Linked DNA regions of Schizosaccharomyces pombe. The protein of the gene in region 2 interacts with the protein of the main gene of each other region in a pairwise test. Each region holds a gene or a part of one and is shown on either strand. Other genes may lie near its edges.

Region 1 (3,345 bases), 3.0 Mb from region 2:
GTCATTTTGATTATAAATATTTGAGATGGCAAGTGATTGATACTCCTGGTATTCTGGACCACCCTTTAGAGCAAATGAACACCATTGAAATGCAATCTATTACTGCAATGGCTCATCTTCGATCTGCGGTTTTATATTTCATGGATCTCTCGGAAATGTGCGGTTACAGTGTTGCTGCACAGGTTAAATTATATCATAGCATTAAACCCCTTTTTGCCAACAAGGTTACTATTTTGGTTCTCAACAAGATTGACGCCATGAGGCCTGAGGATTTGGATCAAAAAAATCAAGAGCTTCTTCAAACCATCATTGACGACGGTAATGTTAAGGTGGTTCAAACTAGCTGTGTTCAAGATATCGGTGTTATGGATGTACGTACTACCGCTTGTGAAGCCCTTTTGGCTGCTCGTGTCGAACAAAAACTTAAGGGCTCAAGGGTTAACAATGTTCTTAATCGCATTCATCTTGCTGAGCCTGCTGCTCGTGATGAGGTTGCACGACCAGCTTGCATTCCTGATTCTGTTAAAACTCGCCGTGCATATGATGCAAATGATCCAAATCGCCGTATACTTGCTCGTGATATTGAAGCTGCAAACGGAGGTGCTGGTGTCTATAATGTTGAATTGCGTGACAAGTATATTCTTCAAGACCCTAGCTGGAAATATGACCGTATGCCTGAATTATTGGACGGTAAGAATGTGGCTGATTTCGTTGATCCTGAAATTGAAGCGAAGTTATTAGCCTTGGACGAAGAAGAAGAACGTCTTGAGCGTGAAGGATATTATGATTCTGACCAAGAAATTGAGGATGCCGATGAGGAAGAGGTTCTTGAAAAAGCAAGTAGAATTCGTGAGAAAAACAAGCTGACTATGTTGGCTGCTCGCCAGAAGAAAATTAAAAATCGTCCTGTACTTCCCCGTACCGCTGGCATTCGTACTTTAGACGAACTACAATCTTCCTTACAATCTGCTGGGCTTCCCTCAGATTCTATTGAAGAGCGGGCACGCTCCCGTGCACGTACTGCAGCAGCAAACGAAATGGCTGATGGTTCAGGTGTTGACTTGTTAATGAATGAAGGTGAAGAAATTCGCTCTAAATCTATTGCCCCACGTTCACAAAGCAACCGTCGCGAATCTGGTGTTCACGCAGAAGGTGCCAGATCTTACGCTGATCGCCTGGCTCGTGTCAAACAGATACACCGTAACCGCATGGCCAGGGCTTCTGAAAGTGATCGACATGTTATTGCTGCCAAGCCTAAACATTTGCTTAGCGGTAAACGTGGTAACGGTAAAACTCAAAGAAGGTAGAATAATGGTTTTGGACTTGGGGTTCTTTTTTTATATAAAACTTTAATATTTGGTTGGTTATTTGGGTTTGGATAATATGGGTGGACTTGCAAGACTTTCTACCTACATCCCTTTTTGTTTCTTCACATAAATTACTTTTGTTGGAGGATGTTGTCCATTAGGAAAGAAATTTAATATATTTCAAAGCTTTTGCTTAATGTACTTTCAGTTGACAATTGAAGCAGTTAATTATGTAGCCGTGCATAACAACACCTGTAGTTTTTGGCTGTAAATTTTATGCTGAGTAAATAGATGAAAGTAAAAAGAATGAGTAATTAAAATCTAAAGTTAATCAATAGCTAAGGTTGATCGTTGTTGAACAGAGAGGCAACTGTCGTGCTCAAGTGCTAACTGCTTTAAGATGCCAAAAACCATACCCTTGCAATTAGCAAAATAATGCTAGATTAAAAGGTTATAGTTAGATCAACTATGCTTTGTTTAAATAAGTAATACTTATAGCTTGATTCTGTTATAATCATGTTCTCTCCTTGTACCGTTAAAGAAAAACGTTCAACTTTGCGAAGTGTCGCTCCCAACCCGGAATCTTCTGTTATACCTCCAATTCCTTTACCATCAAGAAGGTATAAAACAAGACATATTGATGCACTTTGTTCGTTGATGCACCTTTGCTTATTGCGCAAAGATTACCCAAGGGCATCTAGGGCTTTTTCATTACTGTTGAGATCTAAGAGTGTTGACATTTCCAAATTATGGAACATTGGACTTGAAATTTTGAACAAAGTTAATCCAGAAGCTTCATCAGAGTATATGGAGCGACTAATAGCTCGATATCCTGCGCGTCCATCCATTAACAACTCTTATCCGAATCGTAATGTAAGTGTATACTGGTACAAAACGTCTATACTTTCATCTTTTCGTGTATTGAATTTTTTGTCCCTTCTTATTTGAAATCAATCATATGTCGCAATTCTATACTAACATTTACAGGCAGAACATTTTTTTCCAGCATATATCATGCTACTTATTCAGCGCCAAGAATACAATAAAGCTATGAAGTTGCTTGATGAGTATTTGCTGTTACCACCCTACAATCAGAATCCTGCATTGCATGAGTATTCCGGAATGTTGTGTTTTGAACTTGCCAAGGAGGAAGCTTCAGAATCTGAGCGAACTAAATGGATTGAAAAGGCGAAATACAACTTTTCAAACGCAGGAATTGACGTCGAATTGTAGATTTAACATTCCCATGGCATTTCAAAAAGCACATTAGTATATTTAATATTTTAGATTGACCATCAGAAAAATTATGTATATTAGCAAATAATAAGATGGGAAGATACATTTAAATTTAAATTTAAAACTAATCATTAGATAGCCAACGACTGTATAAAAAGATTGTTAAATATCTATAAGTTCAAGTTGGTATTTATATAAAAAACATAAAGAATGCAAAAAATAAGATAACGAAAGAAAAAATTATTTTGAATAATAATTTAAAACCAAAAAAATTAAGATCCACTTTGATCTGTATTAATCGTATTATACATTCCCATAGAAAGCAAGTTCAAAATTTCGTTAATTTTCTGTTTCCGTTGCGCTTGCAATGAGCATAATTGCTCAACGAGCTTTTCACGAGCAGCTTCGTTTTCAGCTGTAAAAAGATCAACTTCGTGTTTTGAGCTTAAAGACGAACGGTTCGTTTTAGTATCATGACCAACAAGGTTTTTGGTCTCCGAGATATCAGCTAACTCATCAGTACTCCATATTTGAGAAAAGTAAGTTACGTATTTTTTTAATTGATGAAGCTGAACTGTTTCAAGGTAATATCTAGCAGTTTTCAATGTATGCAGAAATTTTTTACACTGGTGAATCAAATCCTCCCGCTGATTTACCAAGTAGTTCTCGTCATTATTGGTACGTTCATTCCATAATCTTTGGCAAGTTTCAGTTTCCCGAACTGTTTGCTCCAACGCCTCCATTGCCAAATTATAGGTTAGTTGTTTTTCAGCAAGAGATGCTTCATGGCATTTTGAAAGTT
Region 2 (3,759 bases):
AAGAAAAACTTACATATTGGTGGAAAAACTTACCTTCTTATTTAAAAATGAGCGAAGTTCCAAAATTTTCACCCAAATGGATCCAAGCAATAATACTGGAATTGAAATTCAGGCAAATAGAACTCATTTTCTATCGCCCTTTTATTCACAGTATTAGTACACCAATTGATAATCAGAATGGGTCGCCAATGAAACCTGCAAATTTTGCTTTAAAGTGTGCACAATCTGCGGAGCGTGTTGTTTTTTTGTTACAGGAATTGGCCAAATCTCCAAATACTCCCAAACTGTTTTTCAATTTGTATTCTGGATACTACGCGTTAATGACCTTGACATATTGTGCTACTTTGACGAAGGACGATGCCAATAAATCTAATAATTTCATAACTAAGGCAAGATTAGGATTTCATTGTCTACAAATGATATACCGCGAATCCACTTACTATAGTACAATAATGGAGGCAATCAAGAACTTGCTAATTGCGTATGATATGAACTCATCTGGTACTGAAAATTTGGATGCGACCCCGGATGTTACAGGACAACTACCAAACAACTTTTCGCAGAGAACTAGTAATATACCTAGAGAGTTTCCGCAAGCACAAATATTTTATTCAGATGCTCCTTACCCAGGTTACTATAATCCTGCCCAGTTTCAAAATGCACCAACAAATTTCCCTATGCCTACGTATGGTGGGCGTACACAGGATCAATCTTATCCTAGACAAAACGGATATCCTTCCTATTCTGATGGTAATGTATACCCTCATGATAGGGTTATGATTAATTATGGTTCTTCAATGCCAACAGCGAATGGTTTTTATGTTCCGAACACCTATTCTCCAGTACCTTTCCCGTATAATACTTCATACCCTCCATACATGAGTCCAACTTCGAATATGCCTCAGGCTTTCCAAGCATATTCACAGTATCCTTACCAGCACCCGCCTTTTCCCTTGTCAGAACAAATGCTACCACTGCCTACTTCAGGGGTTATGATGGCACCTGGAGCTGCAAAATCTGGCATGCCGTATCCCTTCATTCAACCACCTTCCATGACTAACCAAGTTGCTTATCCTACTGTCCGAGATGGTTCTAATAATTCTCCTGACCATCCAAGTTCCTCAAACTCTAAAAGAACCGAGTGAGCGATCAATGTTGTTAAGCATAGAAACTCACTTTTGTTTTCAAAATTTTTTTTTCTGCAATAATTCTTGCTTCACTTTTTATCTTTAATAAGGGTTCTAGCTCCAACTTTTAGGGTTTGCTCATGAGAAAAAACATTGACATTTTTAAAAAACTTATTTTTTGTTCCTTTTAATTAAGTGATATTTTGTTTGGTTGATGATTAGCTTTTTATGTTTATTGAATAATAGAACGATTGAATATCTAGATTATCTGTCTTCCTAGATGTTTGTGATAGATTTGCTTTTTGATCTTTTGATCAAGCTTAGAGAGTTAGCCTACTGCTTCATGTCCATTAGCTAGTGATATTTACGCGCATTATTATCAGCAATGAATAACCAAGTAGTGTTAAAAGCTAAAAATTTTGGAGTAAAGTTACGTTGAAGTTCTACATTATAATGGATTACTGCAAAGCAATTGATGAACTAAAAACTTTAATAGTGTGCATTTTCTTTCACGATGGAATGTATAATTACTAAAATGACAATTAGCTGTTTATTTTGTAAGCAACTGCAAACCCAACTGTGGAACGTATTGTTGAGTACCTTTGGCATCTAGGCTAAAAAAATGATCCCTATAAAAATCTTCTAAATAAAAGCTCTGCGAAAAAAATGGTATCGAGATCTGATGCTTACACTGTATTTTAGACGTTGAAGAATTTAAATAATTAAGCCTGCACACTCAATATTTACCACCACACAACGTTGACACCGCCTTTGCATTCATAAAAATGTTTGCAGTAAAATATTAGTAGTCTCATCGATTCAATTGAAGCATAATCCCAGCTTAAAAGTTCGATGGTTATCAGGTTAATACTGAATGAAACCTTTAGTTTGTGCGTATAATTTTTTATGGTGAATTGTATTTTATAGAAATATCCAACTTTCTACTACAGAAGAAATACCGTAATTAGGTAAATTATGGTTGGGAAATCTAAAAATAGGGCCCACAAAAATATTCGAGCTAGATCTTGTCTGAGATGCAGGCGCCGAAAAGTCAAATGTGACCGCCAATATCCTTGTTCTCGATGTAAAGAGAGTGAAGAATCATGTACATATGGAGTAAACGAGCAAGCAGTCCAACTTCTTGAAGAACCTTTAAGCCGACCAATTACTAGAGAAACAGATAGTTCTGCTCATCAAGAGACTCGGACGCGTTTGGAAGAAAACAACCTCCCTAAAACCCAGAAGTTTGGATTCGTAGACTGGAAAACAATTTTGAAATCTTCGGCTGAATTTCAAGGTATTGTTCAGAGAGATCCAGAATCACGTTTAAGAGAAGCTTTAGAAACGGATCCTAAATTGAAAAAACGATTAGAATGTATTTTAGAAACTATCCCTCCTTGGGATGTATGCGAAAGCCTTTTAAAAGTTTATGCTAATACTTTTAATGTAACAAATTATATTTTAGATTTTGAGCAAGCTGATAAATTGTTATCTGATCTGAAAAATTCTAACCATGTTTTCGCGACTTCTATTATTTTAATAGTTACAGCAATTGCGGTAGCACTTTCGTTAGAATCCTTTCCTTCAAATATTGAAAGATACTTTTCGGCTGTTAATCATAGCGCCATTGAACTATCGGATGCATTAAATTCAAAAATTGATGACTTTTTAAATGAGGAGGTAATATTTCGACTATGGAGAAATATTGACAGAATTCGACTGCATGCTATAAGGGCGCAACTTTGCATGCGAAACCAGTTTCGAAGTATGAACACTGATCTATGTTATGCAATTCATTACGCATGTTTTGTTAATCCAATCTTTCAAAATACTGATACCGAGTATGAAGCAAATATGGAGGTTTGGCTTTCGATTTGTGAGATAGATGCTTTGGAATGTGTTTTACGATCTTGCCAGCCTTGGGTTCAGCACGATATTTACGGCAAACTTCTCTCTCAGCGAAAAATGGGTTCAGATGTTATTAGTTATGAGTTTCACTCACTACTCGGGCAATTGTTAACTTGTGGTTTGGAAATATATAAAGCTATTCATACTTCGACTGTAAACGAATTCGTTAACTCTATTCAGTTTTATGAAAGTCAACTATCGCTGGTTTTAATGGAAATAGAGTCGAAGTTTTCTAATATCGATGGATCAGATATTCATTTTCGCTATTTATTTCTCAAAACCGTATTTTGGACAGTACGTAAAAATCTTTATCAAGGTTTTATTACTGTGAGCCGTACTTTAGTACCCAATTATCCAGATATTGTTCAAAAGCTTGGCCAAACATCGATACAGTTGTCACGATTAATTAGCAATTCAATGGATTGTTTCGAAAAATACGGTTGGCTGAAAGCAATGTTAATTTTAGTTACACATACGTTTCTTATAATACATGTTTGTTCCGAAAGGGGTTACGATGTCCCAAAGGATTTTTGGAATGTAACTGCATCAGTACAGGCTACCCTTGAGGAAAAGAAATATCCGGGAATTGTATGGGAAAGGATTCATTACGTTCTGAATATATACACGACAATCAATTCGGTAGAACCAGAGCTCTCAGAAGACCATGGAGATTTGGACGACCAAAACCTTTTTCAGGTTTTTACCGACATATTTGATTTTAATT

Evidence for each region.
Region 1: the proteins of SPOM_SPBC16G5.17 (region 2) and rrn11 interact in a two-hybrid assay, tested with the Schizosaccharomyces pombe proteins (one large-scale study listed by BioGRID).

What each region holds. Positions count from the first base shown.
Region 1 is NC_003423.3:1,234,846-1,238,190, reverse strand, and holds rrn11 (RNA polymerase I transcription factor subunit Rrn11), read left to right. Parts: upstream 1-1,709; 5' UTR 1,710-1,823; coding exon 1,824-2,180; exon of another isoform or gene 2,181-2,294; coding exon 2,295-2,540; 3' UTR 2,541-2,686; downstream 2,687-3,345. Other genes in the region: GTP-binding protein Nog1, read left to right, coding at 1-1,307; MBF transcription factor complex subunit Res1, read right to left, coding at 2,816-3,345. UniProt on the Schizosaccharomyces pombe protein: Subunit of a multiprotein complex essential for the initiation of rDNA transcription by RNA polymerase I. Binding to the DNA template is dependent on the initial binding of other factors.
Region 2 is NC_003423.3:4,245,716-4,249,474, forward strand, and holds the start of SPOM_SPBC16G5.17 (transcription factor), read left to right. Parts: upstream 1-1,876; 5' UTR 1,877-2,102; coding exon 2,103-3,759. Other genes in the region: regulatory protein ntu1, read left to right, coding at 1-1,145.